Macaca fascicularis: one gene and its partners. The protein of the gene in region 4 binds, or shares a complex with, the protein of the main gene of each other region. Links are inferred from orthologs where the notes say so. Each region holds a gene or a part of one and is shown on either strand. Other genes may lie near its edges.

The links.
Region 1: EXOSC9 (region 4) and EXOSC4 share a complex: the UniProt entries of both Homo sapiens proteins name them as parts of the RNA exosome core complex. The link is inferred for Macaca fascicularis from reciprocal best matches to the Homo sapiens genes EXOSC9 and EXOSC4.
Region 2: EXOSC9 (region 4) and EXOSC3 share a complex: the UniProt entries of both Homo sapiens proteins name them as parts of the RNA exosome core complex. The link is inferred for Macaca fascicularis from reciprocal best matches to the Homo sapiens genes EXOSC9 and EXOSC3.
Region 3: EXOSC9 (region 4) and EXOSC1 share a complex: the UniProt entries of both Homo sapiens proteins name them as parts of the RNA exosome core complex. The link is inferred for Macaca fascicularis from reciprocal best matches to the Homo sapiens genes EXOSC9 and EXOSC1.
Region 5: EXOSC9 (region 4) and EXOSC2 share a complex: the UniProt entries of both Homo sapiens proteins name them as parts of the RNA exosome core complex. The link is inferred for Macaca fascicularis from reciprocal best matches to the Homo sapiens genes EXOSC9 and EXOSC2.
Region 6: EXOSC9 (region 4) and EXOSC6 share a complex: the UniProt entries of both Homo sapiens proteins name them as parts of the RNA exosome core complex. The link is inferred for Macaca fascicularis from reciprocal best matches to the Homo sapiens genes EXOSC9 and EXOSC6.

The regions. Positions count from the first base shown.
Region 1 is NC_088382.1:153,749,058-153,754,047, forward strand, and holds EXOSC4 (exosome complex component RRP41), read left to right. Parts: upstream 1-1,674; 5' UTR 1,675-1,782; coding exon 1,783-1,953; exon of another isoform or gene 1,954-2,270; intron 2,271-2,984; coding exon 2,985-3,191; intron 3,192-3,282; coding exon 3,283-3,642; 3' UTR 3,643-3,690; downstream 3,691-4,990. UniProt on the Homo sapiens protein: Non-catalytic component of the RNA exosome complex which has 3'->5' exoribonuclease activity and participates in a multitude of cellular RNA processing and degradation events.
Region 2 is NC_088389.1:61,540,938-61,545,668, reverse strand, and holds part of EXOSC3 (exosome complex component RRP40), read right to left. Parts: intron 4,143-4,731; exon of another isoform or gene 3,948-4,142; intron 3,870-3,947; coding exon 3,718-3,869; intron 2,611-3,717; coding exon 2,409-2,610; 3' UTR 2,388-2,408; exon of another isoform or gene 2,170-2,387; intron 2,075-2,169; exon of another isoform or gene 1,951-2,074; intron 593-1,950; exon of another isoform or gene 1-592. UniProt on the Homo sapiens protein: Non-catalytic component of the RNA exosome complex which has 3'->5' exoribonuclease activity and participates in a multitude of cellular RNA processing and degradation events.
Region 3 is NC_088383.1:106,396,905-106,402,140, forward strand, and holds the start of EXOSC1 (exosome complex component CSL4), read right to left. Parts: upstream 3,330-5,236; 5' UTR 3,308-3,329; coding exon 3,277-3,307; intron 3,170-3,276; coding exon 3,054-3,169; intron 639-3,053; coding exon 564-638; intron 1-563. UniProt on the Homo sapiens protein: Non-catalytic component of the RNA exosome complex which has 3'->5' exoribonuclease activity and participates in a multitude of cellular RNA processing and degradation events.
Region 4 is NC_088379.1:126,880,745-126,885,475, forward strand, and holds part of EXOSC9 (exosome complex component RRP45), read left to right. Parts: intron 1-573; coding exon 574-711; intron 712-3,502; coding exon 3,503-3,585; intron 3,586-4,731. UniProt on the Homo sapiens protein: Non-catalytic component of the RNA exosome complex which has 3'->5' exoribonuclease activity and participates in a multitude of cellular RNA processing and degradation events.
Region 5 is NC_088389.1:13,177,996-13,182,726, forward strand, and holds part of EXOSC2 (exosome complex component RRP4), read right to left. Parts: intron 4,281-4,731; coding exon 4,215-4,280; intron 2,803-4,214; coding exon 2,734-2,802; intron 1,525-2,733; coding exon 1,348-1,524; intron 611-1,347; coding exon 482-610; intron 1-481. UniProt on the Homo sapiens protein: Non-catalytic component of the RNA exosome complex which has 3'->5' exoribonuclease activity and participates in a multitude of cellular RNA processing and degradation events.
Region 6 is NC_088394.1:70,112,890-70,118,317, reverse strand, and holds EXOSC6 (exosome complex component MTR3), read right to left. Parts: upstream 3,173-5,428; 5' UTR 3,133-3,172; coding exon 2,314-3,132; 3' UTR 863-2,313; downstream 1-862. Other genes in the region: AARS1 (alanine--tRNA ligase, cytoplasmic), read right to left, coding at 3,964-4,149, 4,492-4,605, 4,938-5,024, 5,145-5,264. UniProt on the Homo sapiens protein: Non-catalytic component of the RNA exosome complex which has 3'->5' exoribonuclease activity and participates in a multitude of cellular RNA processing and degradation events.

The DNA of each region.
Region 1 (4,990 bases), on a different chromosome or scaffold from region 4:
GGTGGCGCATGCCTGTAATCCCAGCTACTTGGGAGGCTGAGGTAGGAGAATCGCTTGAACCCAGGAGCTGGAGGTTGCAGTGAGCTGAGATCGTGCCTCTGCACTCCAGCCTGGGTGACAGTGAGACTCCGTCTCCAAAAAAAAAAAAAAAAAAAAAAAACCAAAAACCTTCCCCAGGCATAGTGGCAGGTGCCTGTAATCCCAGCTTCCCAGCTACTTGGGAGGCTGAGATACAAGAATCACTTGGACCCAGGAGGTGGAGGGAGCAGTGCGCTGATACTGTGCCACAGCACTCCAGCCTGGGTGACAGAGTGAGACTCCATCTCAAAAAAACAAAACAAACAAAATGACCCAGTAAGAACAGGGACAGGAAGAGCTCAGACTGCAAGGGGAGAAGGGCCTGGGCTGCTCCACAGTACGCAGTGTCTGGCTGCAGAGCCAAGGGTGGGGAATCGGTGGTGGCCAGTGGCAGAGGATAGTGGCCTATCATGGCCTCATACCAGCTGCAGCAGCAGGGCTGTGGCTTGCTCACTCATTCTCATGCCTCTCAGTCTTTCAGGAGAGCATAACCACCTCTAAGGGGATGCTGAACTTGGGCCCCTGCAGCAGACTGCATTTCCCCAGCCCACCTGCTGTTCCTACAGTCTAATATTGACACTCCTCTCACTGAAGGGTGGGGTCCCTGTCCCCATCCCTTAAGCCTGGGTAGATGTGTCTGACTGCCTTGACCCACAGAGTCTGGCAGGAGGGACACTATGTGACTTCTGAGGCTAGGTTCTAAAAATATCATGCACATGTTGTCCATCTCATTGTCCTGGAAGGCTACCCTTGGAACCCAGCTGCCATATTGCAAGGAAGCATGGAGAAGCCACAGGTAGGTGTGCTGCCTGACAGCCACAGATGAGGTCCTGGCCAGCCACCAGCATCAGCCACCAAAGATGTGAAAGAGAAAGCTTTAGGATGGCTCCAGCCCCAGCCACCATCTGGCAGCAACTGTAGGAGAGAGCCTACGTGCAAACTACCTAGCTGAGCCTAGATAACCCAAGACTGCAGGACATAATAATAGAATGATTGCTATTTGAAGCCGCTGAGGTTAAGTGGCAAGAGATAAACAGACACACAACCCCTCTCTGGAAAGGATGAGGAAATCTGCAACCTCAAAAGGAAAAGGGAGGCCCACTCGACTGCAGTGTGGAAGCCCGGTGTAAAGGGAGGGCATGAGAGGACTGGAGAGGTGCCAGGTGTGGACCATCCTGGGACACCAGCCTGGTCACTTTTCTAGCACCGCTCTATGCCTTCTCCTGTCAGTGTCGCAACCCACTGGGTTCATCCTTCCACTTCCACACTTGGGGCGCGGGGAAGGGCTGAATGTAGGCACCACTGGTCCCGAGGGCGTGACGGGAATTTCTCCTTCGGCGGGCGCCCACCTCCTGGCACCCGGGACACAGCTCCGGGAACGGCTGCGGGCTCAACCGCTGCTTCCCCGACAGCGCCACCGCAGTTCCCCGGAGACAGAAGTGAAGCCGAACCGCCAGAAACCGTAGATCCAGGGAGGTCGGTGCCGCGAGGAACTCCAGTTCTCCGGGACCGGAAGTGACAGCGGACCGCCGGAAACCGTAGATCCAGGGAGGTCGGGACCGCGGGGAGCTGTAGCTCCCCGGAACCGGAAGTGATAGCGGACCGCCGGAAACCGTAGATTTGGGGAGGTCGGAGCCGCAGGGCGCTGTAGTTCTCCCGCGAATCAGAGAACTAGGCAGAGAGCGGAGCTGGCGGCCGGGCAGCATGGCGGGGCTGGAGCTCTTGTCGGACCAGGGCTACCGGGTGGACGGTCGGCGCGCCGGGGAGCTGCGCAAGATCCAGGCTCGGATGGGCGTGTTCGCGCAGGCTGACGGCTCGGCCTACATCGAGCAGGGCAACACCAAGGCGCTGGCGGTGGTCTACGGCCCGCACGAGGCGAGTGGGCGTGCGGGATGGGAATCGCGTGACCGCGGGATCTGCGGGGCAGCCGGGCTGAGCACAGGTTCGGGGACTTGAGAGGTGCGGCCGGCGCGCCTCAGTCTACACAGCCGATGCTCAGCACTGCATCTCACTCGGAGTAAACGCAAGTCTTTAGTGTGCTGCGCGGTGGTCCTGCCTTTCTCATCGGTCTCTGTGCCTGCGCTCTCCCTCCTCTTTGCGGCTCTTCAACGTGCCAGGCACTCCCCCACTCGCTCCCTCTCCTCTCAGCTCTACTCCGACGTCACTCCTTCTCAGACGGCTTTATCCATGCGGTACTTCTCTCCCTACAATAAACCCTTGTCTTTTGTGCATCTACAATCTCAAATGCCTATTTTGCTTAAGCATTTTCCCGTTTCCTCGCTAGAACATAAGCTTCCTAAGGACAGAAACTACATAAAACTCTCTGGTTTCATTGCTGTGTTTCCAGCGCTGTAACTGTGCCTGGCCAGTGAAGGTATTGAAAGAGTGTTTGTTTAGCGCATGAGGGTAGGAGCTCTGCTTTCCAGGCGGAGGGAACCAGGAGGGCGAAGACCACGGTGGTGAAAACAAGCAAGGCACTCATGCATAACAGAAAGACTGCTGGTGGGGAAAGAGGGGATAACTCTAAATAAGGTTGAGAGTTCCCGGGGAGGTGAGGAATTAGGGTTTTGTAGACCAGGGAAATGATTTGGGATTTTATTTCATATGTAATGTGAAACCTTTGTAAGGTAATTAGGATTTGAGTGTGAAGGTGAGACAGAATCAGCCTTGATGTTTGTAAACTTGGGTTGGCAGGGAATGGGGCAAGGATGGGCACAAGGAAGCCAATTAAAAGATGCCAGAGGGCAACACATGCAAGACAGTGCAAAACAGGGGGCTTTGTTTTGGAGGTAATGTAGTTGCCCCTTGCTGAGGCATTGAAAGTGGAGGGAGAGGCAGACCCACAGAGGACAGTGGCGTGTGAGCTGGAAGGAGTGGGCCTGGCTCATGTGTCCGTCCTCTTCCAGATCCGGGGTTCCCGGGCTCGAGCCCTGCCGGACAGGGCCCTAGTGAACTGTCAATATAGTTCAGCGACCTTCAGCACAGGTGAGCGCAAGCGACGGCCACATGGGGACCGGAAGTCCTGTGAGATGGGCCTGCAGCTCCGCCAGACTTTCGAGGCAGCCATCCTTACACAGCTGCACCCACGTTCCCAGATTGATATCTATGTGCAGGTGAGCCGGCTGCAGTGTCAATCCAGGGAGGGGTGGGTGTGATGGGGTTGGGGAGAGAGTCTGATAGACTCACACCCTGGGGTCCCTGCAGGTGCTACAGGCAGATGGTGGGACCTATGCAGCTTGTGTGAATGCGGCCACACTGGCAGTGCTGGATGCTGGGATACCCATGAGAGACTTTGTGTGTGCGTGCTCAGCTGGCTTTGTGGACGGCACAGCCCTGGCGGACCTCAGCCATGTGGAGGAAGCAGCTGGTGGCCCCCAGCTGGCCCTGGCCCTGCTGCCAGCCTCAGGACAGATTGCGCTGCTTGAGATGGATGCCCGGCTGCACGAGGACCACCTGGAGCGGGTGTTGGAGGCTGCTGCCCAGGCTGCTCGAGATGTGCACACCCTCTTGGACAGAGTGGTCAGGCAGCATGTGCGTGAGGCCTCTATCTTGCTGGGGGACTGACCACCCAGCCACCCATGTCCAGAATAAAACCCTCCTCTGCCCACACAACCCTCACTGTACGTTAATCACCCAATAGCACTTCAGAGCCATGTGAAGCCTGGCAGAGCCTGGTCTGGTGCTGGCTCCTGGGGATGACCAGGGCCCCTCGCCCACACATGAACTGCCTATCTCTGTGTAGCCTAATTCAAACCCTGAAAAGAACAGTGGATTAGGGGGTTGCTGTGGGGGAGGTCCTGGGTGGAAAAAGCAACATGTCCCAGTAAGGACTCAAGGCAGCTGAGCAGGAGGCAGGGCCTGGCAAGATGAGCAGGTCATTGGACTGAGGAATCTGTTACCCTTACTCTGGCACATCCGGGGCCCTGAGCAAAGGGCTGAGGGAGAACTCAGCTGGCTCTGAGTACCCAACCTAGAGATGTGGGGGCCATGTCCCATGGCCTCTGGACTATGGCCTGGAGCCCCTTGGGCTTTTCCTGCTGCTTACCTTGGGCTCTAAAAAATGCAACAGCCAGGCATGGTGGCTCACACCTGTAATCCCAGAACTTTGAGAGGCTGAGGCAGGCGGATTGCTTCAGGTCAGGAATTTGAGACCATCCTGGCCAACATGGTGAAACCCCGTCTCTACGAAAAATACAAAATTAGCTGGGGGTGGTGGCACATGCCTGTAATCTGAGTTACTCAGGAGGCTGAGGCAGGAGAATCTCTTGAACCGGGGAGGCGGAGGTTGCAGTGAGCCGAGATCGTGCCACTGCACTGCAGCCTGGGCGACAGAGCAAGACTCCATCTAAAAAAAATAAAAGTACAAAAATTACCTGTTCTCATGGATCACTTGAGGTCAGGAGTTCGAGACCAGCCTGGCCAACATGGTGAAACCCCATCTCTACTAATACAAAAATTAGTGTGGTGGCAGGTACTTGTAGTCCCAGCTACTAGGGAGGCTGGGGCAGGAGAATCACTTGAACCAGAGATGAAGGTCACAGTTAGCCAAGATAGCACCACTGCACTCCAGCCTGGATGACAGCAAGACTCTGTCTCAAAAAAAAAAAAAAAAAAAAAATTGTTCTCACATGGAGTCTTCAGTTTTGACCCTTCTCTCTGCCCACCACTATTTATTTGTTGAGACATAGTCTTGCTCTGTGCTCAGGCTGGAGTGCAGTGGTGTGATCACGGCTCACTGCAGTCTCAATCTCCTAGGCTCAAGTGATCCTCCCACTTTGGCCTCCTGAACTAAGACTACAGGCATGTCCCACCTACCTGGCTAATTTAAAAAGAATTTTTTTGTGTGTAGAGACTGGGTCTCATTTTGTTGTCCAGGCTGGTCTCAAAGGATCCTCCCACCTCACCTTCCCAA
Region 2 (4,731 bases), on a different chromosome or scaffold from region 4:
ATTAGCTAGGCGCGGTGGCGCGTGCCTGTAGTCTCAGCTACTCAGGAGGCTGAGGCAGGACAATCACTTGAACCTGTGAGGCGGAAGTTGCAGCGAGCCGAGATTGTGCCACTGCACTCCAGCCTGGGCGACAGAGCAAGACTGTCTCAAGAAAAAAAAGAAATTTATGTAACAAGGAATTAGCCCCAAAACCACATGGCTTTGGATGTGCTAATTGAACTGTTGTATATCTATTTGTGAGAGACCTCTTGAAATTGTTTAAATGGTTATATCAAGAGTTTAATATTCACTAAACTGGCATCATAAAATTGGATGACTTTCTCCAGCCTTGTCTGATCATGCTTATCGTCTCCCAGCTCTGTAATAAGCTTTGCAGGATCCAGCCTGTTCTGACCTATCCCTACTGAGTCCCCATAGCATTTTGTTCCCTCCTATGGCTCTTACCCTGTGGAGTATGCACATGGAGGACTTCTCTTCCTAATGGCAGGATCCTAACAGGACAGATCTGTGTACCTATCTTTCTATCCTCTCTGAGCCTGGTACCAACTAGATTCTTCATATGTATTTGTAACAGATTAAATTGTAAAGCAAACACAGTATTGATAAAAGTCTGTCTTGAAAACGGCTAGAAAGTGTTACATTTTGACACATGAGCATGTTAGATAACCTGCTTATTACACAAATCTCATGTTCCTTATGTCCCAGTTGGACATATTTGCTTCAGTTACTCTGACAGTTTGGGTTAGTTAACTTGCTAGTTAAGCAGCTAGCAAATTCAGGAAATGTATTCAATAACTCAAAAGAACCAAAAGATTACTTCTCTGCTCTGTCCCCTCCCCTTCACAATTTAATTCCTAAGGAACTGTGATCACCTAATAAATTACACCAGTATCTTTCTATTATTTAAAAACCGGCCAGATAGTTCATCATAAAAGATACGCGACCAACCTAAGTACCCATCAGCCAATGAATGGATAAAATGTGGTATATATATATATCCTATGGAATATTACTCAGCTATAAAAAAGAACCAAGTGTCTTTTGCAGCAACTTGGATAGTATTAGAAGCTATTCTTAGTGAAGTAACTCAAGAATGGAAAACCAAATACCAAATGTTCTCACTTGTAAGTGGGAGCTAAGCTACAGGTAAGCACACAGAGTGGTATAAGACACTGGAGACCCAGAAGGGGGAAGGGGAAGGATAAAAAAACGACATATTGGGTACAATATATAGTACTCAGGTGACTGGTACACCTCAGACTTCACCACTATACAATTCATCCACGTAACCCAAAACCACTTGTAGCCCTAAAATCTATTGAAGTAAAAAAACCGCCCAGTCCTCAGAAAACATCATTAGGAACACATAAAGCTCCTTGGTCTTTATCAACATATAAACAATGAGTTCTATAATCTCTTTCATCCAAAAAGGACTTTCTATGGATAGGCTTCAGCGGATCTATATCTCACATATTCTCAAAGAGGTCTAGAAACCAAGAATCACTGATGTGGATCGCCTGGCAGTCTTTTTACCTTTAAAGGTTTTGGTGAATATACTAAATAGCATAGAAGAGTTTTCTATGCTGAGCTCCTAGGAAATGATTTTAGCAAAATAAGACTTGGCCAGATTTGGATTCAGAAATCCTCATTATTTATATAATAATAAACTATATCAAAATATATCAAATATACTACATCAAAAATATCCTATAACATGAAATATGTGACTAATGAATTTTTAATGGAAGTTGTGAAATGTATCATGCTATTTGAAGGAGACAAAAGTATATTACAAAGTAGCATATAAGCTATAATATAATTTCAATTTGATGAACATACAGAGAATGTAGGCCAAGTTAAATTCTGTACCTCCGTTTCAATTATGAGGATAAGTGTCTTCTGCAGTTAGTAAGAATAAAGGAGTTAATCCATGCAAAACACAATACTTGGTAAATGGAAAACACACAGTATTTCATTGTTATATACTCACCCCCTGAATAATGGGACTACAGGTGATGTTTTGCTGCTTTATACTTTTCATGTAGTCTGCACTTCCTGTGGTGAACCTGGCTTACTATTATAATCAGAAAATTATTTTACTGCTGACTTCCAGTTAATTATGGAAGCTGTAGCAATACTAAGGGAGTTAACTCCAAATATACCATAATACTGTTTTTTAGTAAACTTTATTGTACAGAAACAGAAAATATGATTTTGCAATGATTTTCTCTCTAAAGCGTGGGTGAAAACCAGTAACTTACTTATAAAAATATTTTAGGACTCTGATAATATACATTCACACCTTATCTTCTGAGTATTTAAATGGGGAGAGGTTCACGTGAAAAAAGTATTCCCCAGGAAACCCATAGTTTTTTGCATCAACTGACCTGTAAAAAAGTCCACCTATATCAACTTTCTGCCAATCTGGAGAAGATCTGTTTTCTTTGATCTGACGTCATGTGTTCACAAGCTTCTAAAATGTTTGCCAAAATTAAAGTCTGCTGGATGGTTTTTGCCTTAACCCATATTCTTCCATTCATTCCAAATACTATCTCCAGTGGATAGAGTTTTCCCACTTCCTGTATGATTTCACAGTCTGGAGCTAATAGCCTGGTGGGAAGAGAAAAGGAAATGAAATTTAATAAAGCGGCGAAGGTGTCCAGAGTCTCCTTTAGAATGTGATTCCTTTTCTGAGTTCTCCGTAGTTGTTCAACAAGAACAAGGCACATGATGACATTTGCTGCCTCCTTCCAAGAAACTTTATAATGTTCAAAGGTATATTAGAGATCACAGAGGTGGGCTATCCCTTACGAAGAAGTCAAACTCCCTAGGTTACCAACTTTGCAAAAAATGTAAAAGTCATTCCACTAGATTGTTAGAGCACTTTAATTCTAGACTGAGAATCATAACTTTTTTTGTTACCTACAGTGCTAAAAGACACTTTAAACTTACTTTCCTGACCATATTATTCTCTTGCATTAAATACAGTACTTGGAGAGGAACATTGGCTCTTTCAAACCATAAGGGTGGTGCTTGGTTAATAACATGTTTCTTGGTTAATAACATGCTTCTCTGATGTCCAAACTTAATTCTCCAGATCTTTAGGATACGGAGCAAGGAGAGGCATACAAGATAGCTCTGAACTTCACGGGCTCTAGGAGTAAAGCCCCTGAATATGGCACAGCTTTGGGTGGGTAAATTTGTAAACACCAAAAAGAGAATCTGCCTCAGTGGGAACTGTTAAACTTACCAGGACCTAGTGTCAGAAGCCTTCTGTGAATGGCTACATAACCTTGAACATCACGATCTAAGCTGCGTGTGACCCCCATAATTAGAAAAATTTGATAATTCTGTACAACTGCAGACTGCATCTGTATTCAAGTGACTCAGAACAGGGGAAAGGCCAGTTTTCACATTTGGGCTGAGTCAACTAAGGAACAGGCCTGGGAGGGAAGACATGAATACAGAGTAAGAGCTTAAAGCATGAAGTATTAGCCCACCAGAAACAACACAGCCAAACACATCTGAATTTGATACGTTTCCAAGAAGATAGGATTAAATTCATGAGTTTCCAAATGTGTTAAAATGGATATTGATTTTTAACTTTGAGGAGAAATTTAAATGTTACAAATAATCTGAATCCTGAAGATTAACCAACTTTCCAAGAATGTGTAATTATAAAAGAAGGCAGGCAAGGCAGCAGACATCAGGACTTACTTTCTAATTAAGCCCAGAGTCACTTTAAAAAGCAGACCATCCTGTCCAATGACACCCATTCCGTTGGCTCGTCCACAGCTGTCAATACAGACCATCTCTGGTTCCATGTCTTTATTAGCAACCACAAATTGGCCATAGATGAGATCTCCAACCTACAATGATATTAAAAACCAGTTCATTTCCTCTCAGCAAACTACTCTACAGGTGCTGCTATTGGTTCTTTCTCACAGGCATCAATGCCAGCCACCTACAGTTCTGTGGCTAAGGGACTGACTGTACTACAGGATTCCCACAGTCACTTTGAAGTTGAGTCTTGGGGAAAAAAAGGAACACATGTATCATTCCCTTTCACCAACCAGGAAATCACAGACAAGGAGGCCATCTCAAGGCCAGAGAACACCTCTAGGATTGCACTGTCCAATATGGTAGGTAGCCAATTGTTTAAACTTATATTTAAATTAATTAAAATTAGATATTTAAAATTAATTTCCTGAGTTGCATTAGCCACATTTCAAGTGCTCAACAGCTATTTAAATTAATTAAAATTAGATATTTAAAATTAATTTCCTGAGTTGCATTAGCCACATTTCAAGTGCTCAACTGCTACCATACTAATCAGTGCAGATACAAAACAGCATCACTGTAGAAAGTTATGTTAGGTGGCACTACCCTAGAGAATTACAATTTACAGAGAGGAACTCCGGCATGCAAATTATTCAAAGCAAAACAAAACAATAATTCACTGACACTTCTCCCTGCAAGATTTACTTAAAAACCTCATAGAGCTAAACCTTAAAGGGATGAAACTGAGGAAATGGAGAGTGAACTCAATTCTGTTCACTCAAAACATATTAAGTACCCACTGTTTGTTGGTGACTATGTAAACTAGAGAGGAACAAAACATTCTCTGCTTTTCAGAAGCATTTGGTCTTGGAGGGCAGTGGGGAGGTACATATAAACAAACCTCAGTCGAGGCTAAATCCAGTAAGTGCTAGAGCAAAAATATGAGAAAAG
Region 3 (5,236 bases), on a different chromosome or scaffold from region 4:
CCGTGTTAGCCAGGATGGTCTCGATCTCCTGACCTCGTGATCCGCCCGTCTCGGCCTCCCAAAGTGCTAGGATTACAGGCTTGAGCCACCGCGCCCGGCCTTTTTTTTTCCTTTGAGACAGAATTTCGCTCTGTTGCCCAGGCTAGAGTGCAGTGGCGCGATCTCAGCTCACTGCAAGCTCCGCCTCCCGGGTTCACGCCATTCTCCTGCCTCAGCCTCCCACATAGCTGGGACTACAGGTACCCGCCACCATGCCCTGCTCATTTTTTTTGTATTTTTAGTAGAGACGGGGTTTCACCGTGTTAGCCAGGATGGTCTCAATCTCCTGACCTTGTGATCAGTCCCCCTTGGCCTCCCAAAGCACTGGGATTATAGGCGTGAGCCACTGCGCCCAGCCTGCCTTGGCCTCTTAAAGTGTAAGAATTACCAGTGTGAGCCATTGTGCCCCGCCAGAAATACATTTATGTAGCTTGTGGCTATCATACTGGACACTGCAGTTCTGGCATGGTCATGATTTCAGCACTGAATGGGCATTCTAAGCATGGAAGTTAGGACAAACTTACCTTACAGGTTACAATAGCTCCGACATCTGGCAGTAACTGGGACTCTGTTTCTCTTACTACAGACACCACAGGAAGCTACGGAGGGAAAAAGAAAAAACTGAAATGTCCTGGCTAACTCTTGGGTCAAAGCATTTGTGTCTTGAGAGTAATATAGGAATGTCTTGGTACACAGGTGAGAGCTGGAGTATGCATTCATTTATAGGCCAGAGCAGAAGGCCTTAGAAATTTTAGGAAATAGGAGGACCAGGGGGCTACAGAATGCTGCTAGAAGATGTAAACCTCTAAACTTCTTTTTTTGTTGTTGTCGTTGGAGATGGAGTCTTGCTCTGTTGCCCAGGCTGGAGTGCAGTGGCATATTCTCGGCTCACTGCAAGCTCCACCTCCCGGGTTCATGCCATTCTCCAGCCTCAGCCTCCCAAGTAGCTGAGACTACAGGCACCTGCCACCACGCCCGGCTAATTTTTTTTGTAGTAAATCCCTAAACTTCCAATAAGTTTTCTGGTGATTCTCTCAGAATTTCTTGGTATACAACTATATTGCCTATAATCATTGACAATTTTACTTTTTTTGGTTTTTTTTTTGAGATGGAGTTTCACTCTTGTTGCCCAGAGTGGAGTGCAATGGCGCCATCTCGGTTCACTGCAACCTCCACCTCCTGGGTTCAAGTGATTCTCCTGCCTCAGCCTCCCGAGTAGTTGGGATTACAGACGCCTGCCACCATGCTCGGGTAATTTTTTGTATTTTTAGTAGAGATGGGGTTTCACCATGTTGGTCAGACTGGTCTCGAACACCTGACCTCAGGTGATCAACCCACCTTGGCTTCCCAAAGTGCTGGGATTACAGGCGTGAGCCACTACATCTGGCTGACAATTTTATTCTTTCCTCCAAAGTTATACTGCTTCTTTCTGTTTCTTATTTTACTGCACAGGCTGAAATTTCCACAGAAATGTTACAAATAGTAGCTACACTTGTTTTAAGTGAATACTTGCAGAGTTTTCTCTTTGAGCATGGTATTGGCTGTTAGTATGAGACAGATATTTTGAGCCTCATCTTTTAACAATCTCTCCGTTGCTTACAATGCTTCAGCTCTCCTGGCCTTCTTTCAGTTTCCCCAACTTACTAAATTCTTCCCACTTTCAGATCTCTCTTCAACCTATTCTTTTTGCCAGAATTGCACTCTCTCCACCCACCTGACTCTAACCTACTCTTTAGATGATTCAGCTTCAATGTCACTTCTGCTGACTAGGATGGATTTGCCTGTTACATGTTCTTAAGGTGCCCTGTAATATTCTTTCAAAGCAGCCACCACATGTGTAACCATATGCTTATTTGAGCATTTATTTGTTTACAATTTGTGTCTGTGTCCTTTGATAGCAGAAACCAAGTCAGCGCTGTGCCTGACACATGAAAATACTCAAGTGGTATCTATCAAATGAACAAACTCAGGACTGTTAAGGACATTCCCAACAATGACTGAATAGAAAGCCCCTTGAGTCAGACGGCTTAAGTTACTTACTCAAAGCAGAATCGAGGTCAAGTTAGCCAGAACCTAACGGTTCTAATTCTGAATCCTCTTTCTACTGTGCTCCTTCAAATATTGCTTATATGATCCTGAGCTAATCCTGGATCAATCTCTAAAACTAGAAAGGTAGGTATTACGCATTCAACAAACATTTATTGAGGAGCTGCTTTGTGCTAGATACTGATGGTATGGTGGTAGCACCTGCACTTCGTGGAACTTAGATTTAAGCAAGGGAGAAGTCTAGTGGGAAACATACCTGAGTGTCTAATCATATGCTGACATAAGTGCTTGGAAGAAAAGGGACAGAGTTTTTTGTAAGTCTTTAACAAAACAAACAAAAACAAAACATCCCACAAAACTCCTTTCCTCAATTAGTGGGTCCAGAAGGGCTTCTCTGAGGTGATAATACAGAAACTAACGGAGGTAGGAATTAAACAGGCCTAAGAAGACAGAAGCGTTCCAGATAGATGGCATGTTACAAAGGCTCTGTAGCAGGAGAAAGCTTGGCACATTACCGACACTGAAAGAAGCTAGTGTGTTACAAATTTTTTTAAAAGGGCAAGCCAAAACTGTGATTATAACTTTTACAAATAGAAAAGACTGTATGATTAGATTGCGTCAGTGAGGTGGAGATAGTGGCACTAGATAAAGCCGGAGAGGTAAGCAACATTCATACAGTATACAACGCACTGCTGGGCTGAGCTGGGCTGGGTTACTGAGTTCGCATCTGCTTTTGTCCCAACCTCCCTCCCCGAGGGTCAGCAGCACAACCAAGCGAGATCAACACAACTAGTGTGTGGTGGCTAAGTGCACAACAGCGGCGATACGGCTAGAAGAAACTAAGAGACCAACATTGTACCACTAAGGCTCTAAAGACGCGTCCGCAGTGCCCATGCCTAAGGACTGGAACTCAAGGGCAGCCTAAGGGAAAAACAGAGAGAGAGGAGACGGCATGCCGCTTCCTTTACCGCGCCGTTCTCGCTGCTCTTCATCAGGCAGCCGGCAAGCGACGAAAAGATGTAGCCGTGGCGGGTGTAGGTGCCGCTGCCCGGGCTGCCCTCCTCCAAGTTACACAGACGTTCGCCTGCAGAAAAAATGCTGCATCGGTCATGGGCCCCCAGAAACTGCAGGCCGTCCAGGCTTCTTGCTTCGGCCCCTATCCAGGACTCTGTACGGGAAGCGCTCACTTACCGGGAATACAGTATCTCACAGGTGGTGCCATGATTGCCGCTGTCCCAAAACCCGGATGAAAACGAAATCGATTTCTCATTGGCCAAACCCAGGCACAGTTCCGCAGTAAGATACGCGTCAATTGGTGTTCTTTATCCTTGCGTGTAAACTCCATTTCCCAGGTTACCCCGGGACAAATCCGGGGGCGGAACTTCAGCGCTCCATGCTTGCGCCTGCGCGTGTGGTTGAGGATGGGCTGGCGGCAGGTCCGGGTCCGCTGGGTGGCACTGCAGGCGGCGGGCCATGGTGGTTTGGATTGAGCCGGGCCCGGCCGGGGCGCCGAGTCGGAGGCGGTGGCAGTGAGCGGCGGCAGAGGCTGCGGGGCTCGGTTTGGCTGACTGGGGAGTCGGCAGGCGGCAGGTAAGGGCGAAGCCTCGGCCCTTGCTCCCCATCCTAGTCCCTTTTTCTGGGTCGGGCAATGCCCTGGGGCCTTGTCTTGAGTCCGGGTTCCTGCTCTCTCCTCGCCCTGCCCTGCGGGGCTGCGCCCTCCTCAGCCGGAGCGCACCTTGCGAGCAACCGTTACGTTCAGAGCAGGAAGGAAGGAGGTCAAGCGACCCAACTCGTCTGTTTCACAGATGTGGAACCTCAGATTCAGAGACCGGGTTTGACTTGTCCAAAATCTTCAAGATAGAGCCCAAACTGGAACCCGCGATTTTTGACTTCCAGTCCATCGCAGTTTCACCTCGCGGCTGTCATTGAGAAATAAAACCTTTTCCCGGTTTTTGTTTTGTTTTGTTTTTGAAAAGGAGTCTCGCTCTTTGGCCAGGCTGGAGTGCAGTGGCGCGATCTCTGCGCACTGCAACCTCCGCCTCCTGGCATCAAGCGATTCTCCTGCCTCAGCCTCCCGCGCAGCTGGGACTACAGGCGCGCGCCATCACGCCCAGCTAATTTTTGTATTTTCAGTAGAGACGGGGTTTCACTATGTTGGCCAGGATGGTCTCGATCTCTTGAGCCGCCCGCCTCAGCCTCCCAAAGTGCAGGAATTACAGGTGATTCCTCCCAAAGTGAGCCACCGCGCCCGGCCTTTTCCCGGTTTTTTAACTGTAGCTTCCAGTCCTGCGGTCCGATCCCCTTCGCGGCCTCCCATCCCCACTTAAGTAAGCTTTCTCAGGTTGAAAAAGCCGAACTCTGGTTGTGTGGGCCCGTCATCAAAAGATAAGCAGCCCCAAAATAAAGTTGCTACTTTTTCTTCTCAGCGTGTTACCCCAGAAGGGAGGTCTGCACGTGAATAAAATGCTACTCTTTATTGATGTCTGGTATCTCCTACTTGAGATTGCAAACATCCCGAGAGCAGCGTCCTTGTCCAGATGACATTGCCCACGACTTTGATCTCAGTTCACCTGACTTCTGATGGCTTTGCCGCCTGTCCCTCCCTGTCCCCTCAGTCGACTTTCCCCTTGGGAAACAGATGGTGACTTAGAGCCATTGGAAGAGGGAAGTGCTGTGGCCTGCAATCTCCTCCTGTCTGGTGGCAGACGACCACTATGGCCTGTGACTGTTACTGAGGGATGAGAGTACTCGGGCTTGTGCTTGGGGTGGTAGTAAAGCTGCGCTTTGCTCTGTTTCCTCCCCTGTTCACTGAGATTACCCCCTTCTTCCCTACACACATATTTTTGAATTTTGCTTTACCTCTATTTCCTGAGATGAAAAGTCTGGGCCAGGTGCGGTGGCCCGCCTGTAATCCCAGCACTTTGGGAGGCTGAGGCAGGCGCATCACCTGAGGTTGGGAGTTCGAGACCAGCCTGACCTACATGGAGAAACCCCGTCTGTACTAAAAAAATACAAAATTAGCCGGGCGTGGGGGTGCATGCCTGTAATCCCAGCTACTCAGGAGGCTGAGGCAGGAGAATTGCTTGAACCCAGGAGGCGGAGGTTGTGGTGAGCCCAGATTGTGCCATTGCACTCCAGCCTGGGCAACAAG
Region 4 (4,731 bases):
TCATCCAGGCAGGAGTGCAGTGGTGTTATTATAGCTCACTGTAACCTTAAACTCCTGGGCTCAAGGGATCCTCTCTCCTTAGCCTCCCGAATAGCTAGGACTACAGGCGCATGCCACTCCACCCAGCTAACTAAAAAACTTTTTTTTTTTCGTAGAGATAGGGTCTTGCTGTGTTGCCCAGGCTGGTCTCGAACTCCTAGGCTCAAGCAATTCTCCCATCTTCGCCTCCCAAAGTGCTGGGATTACAGGTGAATGCCACTGTGCCTGACCTAGAGTTTGTGGTTTTTAACAGACATGATAAAAATGTAATTAGATTTGAGGTTAGGAAAATCTTAGTATTAAACATTAGAGTAGTTCTGTCTATTTAAAGTATGTGTTCTATGATTAAACGACTCACATAGTATTTCAGATGTTTGGCTTAAATTTTCTAAAATACATTTTTTGTTAACAAACTAGAAGGAGTAACTGCATCTTTTAACAGCAAGAAAAATTACTTTGTGCACAATGTTACTTTTCTTGATAAATAGCCACTGGTTGTAATCAGGATTTATTTTATTTTAAATTCACTATCAGGTTTGGCAAATACGTGTAGACCTACATTTATTAAATCATGATGGAAATATTATTGATGCTGCCAGCATTGCTGCAATTGTGGCTTTATGTCACTTCCGAAGACCTGATGTCTCTGTCCAAGGAGATGAAGTAACACTGGTAAGCTCTTATGTGAACCAGGATCCTTGATACGAATGAATGAGGAGGGTCCTAAATGTGCAGGAAACTTGTTTTTAGTGAAGTTATGTTGTAGATGGCAATTGGGTAGGTTCTAAAAATTTGTTCATAAGACTAAAACTGCATATGGTCAAAATTGCCCTTGAAATCTCTTAACAGTTCCTCTATTGAAACATTTGTCAGTAAGAACATACCGTAGCATGGTTTTCCAGAATAGAATTAGATGACTATTTTGGATTGAGCATTAGATGAAGTGTTTGACTTATGTTTAAGGGCCATATGTGTGAAAAATAAATGAATCTCAGCACAGTGAGATGCTTACCCTGCAAGAGGTATGCAATAGCTGAAAAGCACTGAGGAATCAGCAGATTCATATTTGTCTCCAGGATGTTTGTTCATTAGGCAAAGAGCTGATGAAAGTCCATCAGAAATACCCGGAGGGCTTGTTAAAACATATTGCTAGACTCTACTCCCAAAGTGAAACAGGGCTACGACTTAAGAATTTGTACTTTTAACTTTGAGTTCTTAGGTAATACTGATGTTGCTGGTCCAGGGAGCACATTTTGAAAACCATTGACCTACATTTTCTTTATCTTTTGTTCTGAGTATGTCAGTTTTAATTTATATAAATTACATGCTAGAATAATGAAAGTGCACCGTAGTTGTAGTTTGAATCCTGAAGTTGCAAAAGGACACATCAGATGCCCAGATTTTCTAAACAATGATTCATAATTTTGCTTTTGGGCAGTAGACTGGAGCAGAACCGTTAAAAAGTGAGAAGTAGGGACAAAGGTTTATTAACAGTAGAGGTAATATTCTTTTAGAGGAGGGAGTTTATATAAGGAAGTGAAAAAAAGTAGAAAGCGATTACTACACTTGAAAGATCAATTAAAGAATACTGTGGTGTTCTTGCTAGTGGGAATGTAAAATGGTACAGCCATGTTGGAAAAGTTTGGCAGCTTTCTTAAGTTTTAAGTGTAGACAACATTCTATATTCAGAAAAATAACATTAGAAGGAAATACTTTTTTTTTTTTTTTTTTTTTTGAGACAGGGTCTCACTCTGTTGTCCAGGCTGGGGTGCAGTGGCATGATCTCGGCTCACTGTACCCTCTGCCTCTTGAACTTAAGCAATCCTCCCTCCTCAGTCTCTTGAGTAGCGGGGACTACAGGTGTGTGCCACCCGCTTGACTAATTTTTGTGTTTTTTGTAGAGATATGGTTTCACCAAATTGCCCAGGCTGGTCTTGAACTCCTGGGCTCAAGTGATTCTCCCACCTCGGCCTCCCAAAGTGTTGGGATTACAGGCATGAGCCACCATGGCCAGCTGAAAATACTCCTCTCTTATATGTACATCTTTCAGCAGATTTAACCTTGTAATTTTTTTTTTTTTTTTTTTTTTGAGACAAGAGTTTCACTCTTGTTGCCCGGGCTGGAGTACAATGATGTGATCTCAACCCACTGCAACATCTGCCTCCCGGGTTCAAGCGATTTTCCTGCCTCAGCCTCCCAAGTAGCTGGAACTATAGGCATGCACAACCACGCCTGGCTAATTTTGTATTTTTAGTAGAGACAGGGTTTCTCCGTGTTGGTCAGGCTGGTCTCGAAGTCCCCACCTCGCCTGCATCGGCCTTCCGAAGTGCTGGGATTACAGATGTGAGCCACCGCCCCCGGCCGACTTTATAATATTAAGACAAATTGCAATGGCTTAAAATTGGAAAAAAAAAAAATTCTAGCAATTCCATGCCTAAGAATCTACAGGAGGAATAAGAGCTTATTGTGTTCAGAGACTTGAATGCAAATATTCATAGCATCATGTATTAGCCAGAAACTGGAAACAGTTCGAATGTCCAGCTGGTGAGTAGATAAATAAAATGTCATATATACAAATAATGAAATACTGTTCAGTAATGAAAAGAACTGAGCTACTGACAAATGCTGCAAGGTGCATGAAGCATGCTGAGTTGAAAGAAGCCAGGCGCAAAACATTACAATTTTTTTTTTCCATTTATATAGAATGCTCAGAAAGTCAGATTTACAGAGACAGAAATAAGATAGATCAGTGGTTCCTTGGGGCTAGGGTGGGAGTACACCAGACTCCTATGGACTACAGACAGATTCAAAGGAATTTTAGGGAGTAATGGAAATGTTAAAAAACTAGATTGTGGTGATGAGTCCATAAATATATCCATAACTACACATTTACTAAAAATTGAATCATATACTTAAAATGAGTGGGTTTTGGCTGGGCGCGGTGGCTCACACCTGTAATGCCAGCACTATGAGTGGCCGAGGCAGGTGGATCACCTGAGGTCAGGAGTTTAAGACCAGCCTGACCAATGTGGATAAACCCCGTCTCTACTAAAAATACAAAATTAGCCTGGCATGGTGGCACATGCCTGTAATCCCAGCTACTCGGGAGGCTGAGACACGAGAATCGCTTGAACCCGGGAGGGGCAGGTTGCGGTGAGCTGAGATTGTACCACTGCACTCCAGCCTGGGCAACAAACTTCGTCTCAAAAAAAAAGTGGATTTTATGGGATGTAAATTATATGTATGTCAGTAAATTTTTGAAAAAGGTTTTTGAAGAAGTTGTACAGTTTGAGGAACATGAGTGGCAAAATCAAACAGGCAATTATTAATATAAAAGAAGTTATTGGGTAGTCAAAGGAATAAAGGAACTTCATTTTTATTTTAGTATTTGATGTGCAAGATGATTTTTTTGTATGTTCGTAACTTAGTGACTATAATTATTAAACATTTTCTTTTGAAACAGTATACACCTGAAGAGCGTGATCCTGTACCATTAAGTATCCACCACATGCCCATTTGTGTCAGTTTTGCCTTTTTCCAGCAAGGGTAAGCCTCGCCTTGTTATGGGCCAAAATTACAAATGCAGCTAGGAATTTTATTGTTCTACTCAAGTATGTCATGTTAATATTAAATACTTCGCTTAATATTAAAACACCTTATAGTTCCTTTCTTTCTTTGTAAGGGCATTAGTTGGCAAAGAGCTTTCTCAATAGAAGTAACAAAACTCTTATACTATGATGAAGATACTTCTCAACGTTTTTCTTTTCATGGCATACTTATAAACTTAGGAGTTTACTATGGCATGGTAGTGTTTTATGTTTCCTAAGGATGTACAGGGGTTAAGAGAATTATATGCTAGGCTCTAATTTGGGAAAGTGGGATGACAATTACTGTGGGTTATTGGAAGACAGGGGACTTTGGAGCATATTAGATGGAGTAGTTCTAGGAGTCAGTTACAAGAGGGGATGGTTCACAAACTGGAGGAAAAAAATCTAATGTTCTTCAGTTTTCCAGTGTTTACTTAACTGCTAAATCCTTCTGTGGCTGAAAACTTGGAGTTTTTCAGGTCCATTTAATGGTACTTTCAAATGAAAACTTGAGCCTTAAATTCCTTTAGAAACAAGGGAAGATAAAAATATTTCACACAGTGTTGTGTACAAGGACTAGAGAAAAACTTTCAAGTTTTAGTGATTGTAAGTGTAGAGTTTCATCAGAGGAAAATGGGCTAGCATTGTCCAGTAGAAATAAAATGTGAACCATATATATAATTTTCTTATTTTCCTTTTTTTTTTTTTTTTGTTTTTTTTTTTTTTGAGATGAGATCTGGCTTTGTTGCCCAAGCTGGAGTATAGCAGTGCGATTTTTGCTCACTACAACCTCTGCTTTCTGGGCTCAAGCAATTCTTCAGCCTCAGCCTTCTGAGTAGTTGAGACTACGGGCATGCACCACCATGCCTAGCTAATTTTTGTGTTTTTTGTGAAAAAGAGGTTTTGCCATATTGCCCAGACTGGTCTGGAACTCCTGAGCTCAAAAGTGATCTGACTACCTCAGCCTCCCAAAATGCTGGATTACAGGGATGAGCCACCATGCCTGGCTGTTTCTTTTTCTTTTTTTTTTTTCTTTTTTTTAAGACAAGGTCTCCCTCTGTCACCCAGGCTTGAGTGCAGTGGCGAGATCGTGGCTTATTGCAGC
Region 5 (4,731 bases), on a different chromosome or scaffold from region 4:
TTCAGAAGAGAAACCAACCATAAACAGACCACCAAGCCAATCCAAACATAAATCAAGCCGTTAACATAAACTTTCTGTATTCCTTTCATGTCTCAGAGACTAAGCGTTACAAGATATGATCTGCTAAAGCAGCCTGATACATCAGCAAGATTCTCTGGGATGTAGCCGACAAGAACAATTATTCTGACATCCATCCAAAAGCTGGCTGAAATCTGGGATAGGTAAGATGCAGTCCGAGGTTGCTCTCATAAACTAGTCCCACCTGACACCTCCAGCCCTAAAATCCTTAGACTGACACTACGCATTGAGAATCCTGCAAGTATCTTAGGGAAAGATCTACCAGACACTCATTAGGGCTGTTTCAGGCCAGTTCATACTGATGGATGTCTGGAAAGTATTGGGAGACACGCACATTGTCTCTGCGCAAACAACAGAGCAGCTCACAGATCAATGAAGAAGTGAGAGGTCCTGAGGAGAGTACCTGATGTGGAAGGGATGCTTCATAGCAGTAGAGGATGCTGGTATCATACAGCATCATCCTCTGAGTTACCAGCGAGATGACACAGTTCCGAAGCCGGGATATCACCTCTCGATCAGCAAGAGAGACAGGCTATAAGGAGACACAGAGGAGAAGGGAAGGGAAATATAAACAGGACCAAAATACGTGACCAGCCACAGAAAATCACAAATAAATTACTTATGAATCAGAAAATATCACCCTGGAACTCCAAACCAACCAAACAGCTAACTCCAAGGGAGATTAAAAGGAATGGGGCAGGGCGCAGTGTCTCATGCCTGTAATCCCAGCACTTCGGGAGGCCGAGGCGGGTGGATCACAAGGTCAGAAATTCGAGACCAGCCTGACCAACATGGTAAAACCCCATCTTTACTAAAAATACAAAAATTAGCAGAGCATGGTGGGGCACGCCTGTAATCCCAGCTACTCGGGAGGCTGAGGCAGGAGAATCTCTTATACTCGGGAGGCGGAGCTTGCAGTGAGCCGAGATGGCGCCACTGCACTCCAGCCTGGGCTACAGAGTGAGACTCTGTCTCAAAACAAAACAAACAAACAAACAAACAGAAAAAAGAATGGCTTCTTCAGTGGCTCTTCGGCGTTACCCTGCAACTTTGCCATCGCCACCAACAAACATCGAACCATTCACTGAGTTCATCTCCTTAGAAGAGAGAAGATAATATGGGGTTCATGAATACACCTTGATGGAAAGTCAAAGTGACTCAGCCTACAGCAGTAATAGAGCTAAAAACCACCAATTTCACTGGCCACAAAAACACAGCAAAGACTGAGTCCCATCCTTCCCACCGACAGTGGCCACAGTGTTTGCTCACCTCCAGGTTTGCAATGAAGCCCCCTGCTTCCTCTTCTTTGTGCTCAGGTGTTGGGTAAATCCAGATGAAGCCGTTGTTACCGAGAATCACTGAGGCACCACATGGCAAATCATGGAAGTGGGTCTTCTGCCGTTTCACCAGGGAGGGGGAAACCTGGACCAAAACCCCCTGACCTAGCTAAAGAAATACATCACAAAGCTAGGTCACTACAGGATCATCAGTGGGATGAATGAAAAGGAGACTACAGAATACACATCCTAAGTATATTCAAATTGGTGTCCTTCCTGTTTACAATTGCTGTCGCCTATACGCACACCCATAGTACACATTTTTGCAGAGAACACTTGGGGACTCAGAGGCTATTCATACATCCCAGCAGAAGGTGACTTTCAATGCTCTTCTCTGTCATTTCCCTTTACAGTCTCCCTTGCACTCTAAGCCAGAACTCAGGTGCCAGACATTAGAGAAGTTGAAGCCAATGAGGGAGCTGAAGCCTCCTGCTGGTCCAGTAGCACTGTGTTGTTCCAGGACCCTAGCTCATACCTGAACCCCAAACACTCATCTTGCCTGTGAGATGTGTGCCTCTGGGTAGGTAAGGAGCTGGGTGGAGCTGGGTGCAAATCCATGTCTGGTCCTGGCAGGCCAGCTCAAGTGCATGTCCTGCCAAGGGCGAGTCCACAGGACCCAGGGTTGCGAAAGTCAGCATACTGCAGCAGTCCTCTGCCTACTCCATGTACTTGAACGTGGCTGGCTGCAGCCACTCCATTAAGGGAAGAGGTTTTGTTCCACTCAGAAAATAAAAGTGTTCACCCAGATAAAGCTGAGAGACTAGTAAATCCTAATTTGTTTTAGGAAGTATGCTCTCCTTAAAATAATAAATAGCTTCAATAATGCAACCTCGTACAAGAAAAGCAGTGAAATTCCATTTAGAGGCTCAGATGACAGAGCAAGCTTTGCCAGCAATAACATCCACTGGACTGACTGGACGCTTGTCCAAGGGTTGTTTCTCCAGGCCCAGCCTCCCTTTGTTCCCAGGACCGCCTCAGCCCCGGCCCCAGTGCTGAGCTGCAGCGCCCCCTGGAGGGAGAGAGACAGCTGCACCTCCCAGCCCACAGTTGGACGGGCTCCTCTGTCCAAAGAGTCAGTCTCCCTGGAGAAAAAGGATAAAACTTGTTCTTTACAAAGCTACTGACCCATGACCCTGTGAACCCTGACCTGTGAACCCTCATGTTATGTTTAAGGAACACGATCAGTTTGTGGGATGCCAACCTCTATTAATGCTTAGCTACTGGGGTTCTTTAGGCCAGAATTCCAGAGAGCTATAGGGATTAAGAAATAGCCTTGCAATCTCAGTCAGCAAACAGGAACATCAAGAGCCCAACTTACTTTTCCATATTTCAGGCTCCTCGTGTGCAGAGAGACAGCTCCATCAGAGAACACTGCCTGGACCTCAGCCTGGCCAGGGTGATGAAGGAACAAACAGTAGCCTCGGCCACACACTGTCCTGTCCTCTGCAGCCTCTGCCCCTTGACCCCACACCTCCATCTTTTCCTCCCCTCTCCAATGGTCCAGGCTCAACAATCTTAGACAGACCCAGAGGACATCACTGGGACCTCACTTCTCCCCTTGGTTGTCATGAATATCTTTTTTAAAAAAATAGAGACAGAAGGCCAGGCGCGGTGGCTCATGCCTGTAATCCCAGCACTTTGGGAGGCTGAGGCGGGTGGATCACCTGAGGTCGGGAGTTCTAGACCAGCCTGACCAACATGGAGAAACCCCGTCTCTACTAAAAATACAAAATTAGCTGGGCGTAGTGGCAGGTGCCTGTAATCCCAGCTACTCAGGAGGCCGAGGCAGGAGAATCGCTCGAACCCAGGAGGCAGAGGTTGTGGTGAGCCAAGATCGCACCATTGCACTCCAGCCTGGGCAACAAGAGCGAAACTCCGTCTCAAAAAAATAAATTAAATTAAATTAAATTAAAGGCCAGGCATGGTGGCTCATGCCTATAATCCCAGCACTTTGGGAGGTCAAGGTGGGCAGATCACCTGAGGTCAGGAGTTCAAGACCAGCCTGGCCAATATGGTGAAACCCCGTCCCTACTAAAAATACAAAAATTACCAGGGCATGGCACACACCTGTAATCCCAGCTACTCGGGAGGCTAAAGCAGAATTGCTTGAATCCGGGAGGCGGAAGTTGCAGTGAGCTGAGATCACGCCACTGCACTCCAGTCTGGACAACAGAGCAAGACTCTGTCTTAAAAAAAAAAAAAAAATTTTAAATAACATATAATAGAGACAGAGTCGTGCACTGTCACCCAGGCTGGAATGCAGTGGTGTGATCAGAGCTCACTGTAGCCTTGAGCTCCTGGGCTCAAGCAACCCTCCGGCCCCAGCCTCCTGAGTAGCTAGGCATGTGCCGCCATGCCCGGCTAATTTTTTATTTTTATTTTTTTGTAGAGAGGGGGTCTTGCTATGTTGCCCAGGCTGGTCTTGAACTCTTAGGCTCAAGCAATCCTCCCTCCTTGGCCTTCCAAAGCGCTGGGATTACAGGCATGAGCCACCACACTCGGCCTGTCATTAATATCTTGATGTGAACAACACCTCTTCCACTCCCTGGGCTAAAAGTTAACATCATTAACAAAAGCCTAAAGCACAGGCTACCATAAGTTACAAGACCCAAAGAAATGACTTAGCAGCAGGTCTGAACAAGAGCTGGGGAGTCAGCCTGAGTTAAGGAGACCGAGAAAGGACACAGCAGAGCCCGACACCTGGTCTAACGGTTCTTCCGTCAGAGACATACAATGGAAGGCCCATTTCCCAGCCCCACAGAAAAGCATGAAGAGGCTGCAGTGCAAAGCACAGGATACACTGATGAGGTCCCCTTCCTGTAAGAAACCTCTCATCGCAAGCTCATCTTCTGCAGATCTTCTCCTCTGAAATACACAAAGAAATGACATTACTGAAGCCAGGTCCTCAGAAAGGTCTCCATCACTTCTTTCTCTTTCACTTCCTTTTGAGATTTTTGAGGCCAACCACAATACTCAAACACTGAGAACTATGGCAAAAGTAGGTAACCCGAGCCACTTGAGGGGAATGAGTGATAATCACGACTTTCCATCGCAAGAGACTTTTCCATAGTCCTCTTCTCTTCCTCTTTCCCTCCCTTCCCTGAGGAGCATTCCAACCCCTCCCAATCTCACCCAGCCAACATTTCCACACTCATCTTCCATGACAGCTCTCTGTGGTCCAGCAGGACCAGACTAACTCCTGCTTGGATATATCTCTGCTCACACATTTCCCTTTATCTCAGATTCCCTGAACTAGTTATTTAAAGTCTCTCCATCCTGTCTTTCCTACGAGCTTCTCTCACTGGAATGAACCACT
Region 6 (5,428 bases), on a different chromosome or scaffold from region 4:
TTCTGAGTTTCTAGGTCTTAGGTAGAATATAGAGAAGCCCTGAGCTGCTAAAGCTCTGGGGAGGAAATGGAAATCGGGGTGTGGGGGAGACTAGATGTTGAGTAGGTGGCCCCCCTTTCCTAGCCTCTCATGCCTCCGGCCCCTCTGCCACTATCCTGCTTCTGTTTTCCCTACAGGTGAAGAACCACGCTGAAGACCAGGCCAGCCAGGAGGCAGCAGGAACCCCTCCAGCCTCATCAGCTCCTGGCATTCTCGGATAGACAGCTCCTTGCCTTGCGTAGGTTTTGAAAGCCACCTTAGCAACCTGAGATGCCTGATCTGGAGCTGGGGCAATGGAAGTGAACACAGGGCTTGCCAGACAAGCAGAGGGCCAACCTGTAGTGGTGGGTTTAGCTTCTTTAGAGGTTGCATTTCGAGATGATGGTCCTGGGACTGACACGGTTAGGAGGTGGCCTGGGACTGCACCAGGTCGCCATCCTCATGAAGCTGAGGCTCTCTTGCAAGGGGCAGATGACAGCCCATCCCCACCCCACCCCCACCCCCACCCCCACCCCCCACCCCACCCCACCCCTCCCCTCCCCTCCCCTCCCCTCAGAGGGCACCCTCAGCCTTGTCTGAATGCAGACACAGCTGATCTTCACTCCCCTCCCGATACACCGCCAGTCAACAGATAGCCAGCAGATCTCCCTGAGTTTCCAATCTCCCTGAAACTGCTGGAATGTTCTCAGTGTGTACCCCACACAGCCCTCTTTGGGCTCCAGACTCCCCATCTACTCTAGGAAGTCACCCTTCAGAATTACATTATGTCCTCTCCCCACTGGTGTGATACTATTTCAGACCTGCTCTAGAAAGACACGTTATGTCAGAAGGGAAAAAATAAAATTTGTATTTTTCCTGGTCAGGGGTTCTGGGTGTGGCCCCAGAAACTCATTCTGGTCCTTGGGCTGACCCAGGTCGGCCCTTCCTAGAGAAGCTGAGTGCAGAGAGGGGACCAGGCCGCCTTCCAAATGGCAGTCACCTAGCTTCCTACCATGCAGTCTTGAGCCCAAACCAGCAGAGCTGGTAGCGACACAGGAAAGACCCCACCTCGTGGTGAGTCAGTCAGGTTGTACCTGGCCTTCCTAGCAGTGCACCTGCCCTCTGCGGTGCTGCTCAGGGTCTTCCTTGTAGGACCAGGGTGCCACTTCTCACCAGCAGTGGAGGCTCGGGTTGTGCCATTCTGCACATGGCCAAGGACAGATGGCTTCTACGCAGAGCAAAACCCTTTTCAGCTACCCAGCACCAAGCCAGGTTGGGGCACGAGGTGCACTCAGCGCACTTCTGGGGCCGTACTTTTTTTCCTCAGACGGAGTCTTGCTCTTGTTGCCCAGGCTGGAGTGCAATGGTGCGATCTCCACTCACCGCAACCTCCACCTCCCGGGTTCAAGCGATTCTCCTGCCTCAGCCTCCCGAGTAGCTAAGATTACAGGCATATGCCACCATTATTAGTGCTGGCTAATTTTGTATTTTTAGTAGAGACGGGGTTTCTCCATGTTGGTCAGGCTGATCTCGAACTTCCGACCTCAGGTGATCTCCCTGCCTTGGCCTCCCAAAGTGCTGGGATTACAGGTGTGAGCCGCCGGCCCGGCCAACTCTCCCTACTCTCGTCGTATCTCAGCAGTTCCCCTAACTCTGGTTCATGTGGGGGCAGCTGCTTCTCCAAATCACAGCGCTCCCCTCAGGCTCTGCAGCTCTTTTCAGCCCGTCTCCTGTTCACGTGGGCCTAAGGAACAGAACCCGTTTAAGGCAATGCCGCCGCGACCCTTGACACCTGGGATGCAAGAACAAAAGAGCCTTGCTCTCTTAAATCCCGGACCAAGAAGAACCACACCATAAGACGTTTTTCAAATATAAAAGGGTCTTTCTTTTGGCTCAGACACAGAAGGCACAGTCGTCTTGTCCATCCTCTGAAAAGTCGCCCAGTTATATCGGAGGGGGTCACTGGCTGGCCTGAATGACAGCAGCTCTAGGTACCAGCTTCCAGGTAAGTCCAGCTAAAGTTTCCAACTTGGGAGTCAGGATGCGCTCACAGGTTTCCTCAACTGGGTCGAAGCTAAGAGCCGGCTCAAGTAAAGTTCCTTTAACGAGGTTTGTAAAAACCCTTTCCAACACCACAGCTGTCCGGCGCCTTGGCTCTGCTAGAGCCTACCCAGGTGCTCTCCAGGGCTCCGGCTGCTTACCTCGACGCAGGCTGGAGGCCGACGGCGCGGGTCTTTTCAGGGACGGCGGCAGCACGGTCCTCGGCTTGCGTCCGTCGTTGCTCAGGCTTCTAGTTCAGGGCTGGGCGGCGGCGCCCCTGCGGCGCGCCGCCCGCACCAGGCTCTGCTGCAGCACGGGGTAGAGGCGCTGGCAGCCCTCGAGCCCCAGGCGTACGGCCTCCGCCCAGCTCTCGATCAGGCCGCCCTCGCCGCTGCCCAGCAGCCCGGCCACCTGATTCAGCACAGGCATGAGCGCCACGGTGAGGCCCGCGGCGGCGCGCTCTTCCTCTAGTCGCGTGGGGTCCAGCAGCCAAGTGGGCGCGGGCCCCGGCGCGAGGCTCAGGCCACAGCCCACCACCAGATCGTACATCTCAACGCCCGCGTCGGCCAGGGCGAGCGCGGCGGCGGTGAGCGCGGCGGCCAGGGCCGAGCCGCCGTCCTCCAGCAGCAACGCCGACACCTCGAGCTGCGCGCGCGGGTAGCGGCCCAGGCGCACGGCCGGCTCCAGTGCCTCCTGCAGCGCCAGCGCCAGCTCACGCTCCTCGCCGCCGCCCGGGGGAGCGCGGCGCCGGCGGCCCGCGAAGGGCGCGCGGCGGAAGTCGCACAGCAGGCGACCGCGCAGCGCGGCCGGGGCTTCGCCGCCAGATCCGGCCGGGCCGCCGCCGCGCTCGCCTCCCTCGGCCTGTCGCGGGCCCGACACTGCACACAGCACCTTTGTGCCTCCCGCCTCCAGGTAGGCCGAGCCTTTGGCCTGGCTCAGCAGCCCGGCGCGCGCGTACACGGGCCGCAGTCGCGTTGGGTCGCGGGCGGCGGGCGCCTCCTCCTCGTCGGCCGCGTACAGCTGCGGCGGCTGCGACTCTTCAGGGCCGCGGATGCGGCGGTGGTCCCCGGGCATGGCGGCTCCTGGCTTGAGAGCCGCTTCCGCCCAACGCACTGCCGCACCCACTGGTTCTTCCGTTGCTTAAAGACGCGCGCCTGCGTGAGGGCTGTCGGGAGAGTGACGGGCGACGCTACAGCGCCTGCTGGAGGCTCGGAGGGAGAACGGCCGGCGTCCCTGGCGCCCTGGTCCCACTTGTGCAGGGCTGCCTGATCCATCCCTCCTGCTGGAAGGCAGCGGGAGAGCAGCTCCAAGGCTTCTCTGCTTCCACTAACCCCATCTACTGAATTATGAACGCCTTGCTCCATGTCACCCTACCTATTTGGCCTCAACCTCCACAAACGTTTGAGGCAACCCCAGGGGCTTTTCCCAAAATTTAGGGTTCTGGGGCTGGACTAGGTGAACACTACAGCAGCCAGTAGAAGCCACAGCATTTATTCTACAGACAGCAGGGGCCAAGGGCTGTCAAAACAGCGAGCTCCACCTGGGAAGAGGGATAGAGATCATATAGCATTAAGTATTGCACGTGGTCCTTTTATTCTCTGCAGCAAAAAACGATTCGTCCTTGCTGACACGGAAAGCTCAGGCTGGAGAGCTGTTATCTACAGATGCGAGTGTGGTGATCAACAGCAATGCGGGGGTAGTGGTTCTCGACAGATGGCACTGATGTGGAGGGCTCAGGGCAGAAGTATAAGGGGCGCTGAGTCACAGGACTGCTCGTGAGGGTGTTCCAGGTACGGCCGGGGTAGGAGGGGCTCTCAAAAGGTCCCAGGATTCAAATGTTCTTGTAGCAGATGAAGAGCTCCCGGCTGGACAGATGGAGCCAGTAGAAGCCACCTCCTCCCCCGCTCAGTTCTTTACATCCCCGAGGCGCAGCTGGGCGAAGGAAGTGGCCAGCTGCAGCGCCTCCTGCAGGCAGCCAATGTTTTTGCCTGTGGCCTGTGCAGACACATCCTTGCCCCCACCTTTACCGTCCATCAGGCCTGACACCTGCTGTACCCACTCGCTGGCTTTTAAGCCCCGATTGGCTGCATTCTAGAAGAAAGAAAGGGAAGGGGGAAGTCAGGACAGAAAATGGGATTGAGGGAGGAGCCATCACCCACTCCTTTGCCCTGGGTGATACTGCTGGAGGCCGAGACAGACTTTACGGCTAGTGCAGGGGGCAGTCATGGCCCCTGCCAGGACAGGACAGAGTGGCAAAGCCAAGTATCAACCAGACAGATGCAACCAATGAGGAGGCCTAGGTAAGGGGTACTGGCAAAGGTGACCAACAGGCAGGCAGGAGACAGGCTCTTTTAAATGCAGGTTGTACACACACAGGCCTCAGCAAACAAGCTTAAGACCCAACACTTCCCACTGGTGCAAGGTGGTTCTGACCTGAGGGACTTGACACAGGCAAGTGATCTTGCCAGCCTCGTTGTCCACCGTGAAGAGCATGGCAGACGTCTGAGGGGAGTGTGTCTTGAAGAGCTTCAAGGCTTCATTCAGGGCCTGTGGGGAGAACATGGCTCAGACCATAGTGCTGGAGCAGGGACCCTCACTAGTGTGAGCATTTGCAGCCCTCAGAAGGACCGCCACCCACCCCCACCCCTTCCCAGAGCAGATGTAGTCCTCAGGGCCTGGGTGGAGGACCCCAGTGTAGGGCCCTGCCCACACCCTGGCCCAGGTGTGCCTCCCACATGCAGGGAGCTGCTGCTCCTCCCAACCTTAATCCCAGACAGTGGGCCCTTAGGCAACCACTTGGCTCAGAGCCACAGAGGTCACATATCAGCCACCAAAGGGCTGATGTGCCCCAGGGGAGGGGGCCCCGGCCCCTGGGTTGCCTTGGCTGAGGCACCGCTCTCCATCTCCAGGATGACGAGGGGCTGGTTGGGGTTGCTGTCGATAAGCTGCTTTGTCTTCTCTAACACCTGCAAGAAAAAAGTCCAGAAGAGCAGCTCAGACCAAAAGCACAAGCCGCGAACCCCTGGCTGTATCCTGCCGGCCTTTGCCTAGGAAACACTCTGGCCACCGGTGCTGCCCGGACTCACTCGTTTCTGGACATCGGCTTTGCTGGCTCGGTCTAGGTCATCCATGACCTTCTTTAGGGATTTGAGAGTCTCCCGCAATTCGTCCTTCTGCCACTGGGGGATGACTGCAGTGGCCAGGGCCTGGAACGAGAACCAGAAGACCATCTGAATCTGGGCCACAACTTGCTGGGATGTCAGGGTCAAGCCCACCCCACCTGAACCCAAGTCCTCCCTGACTAGTGTCCTGGAAAGGAAAGCAAAAACACAAAGCTGTCTTCTGGCTTTGAGACCAGTCCCTTCTGGAG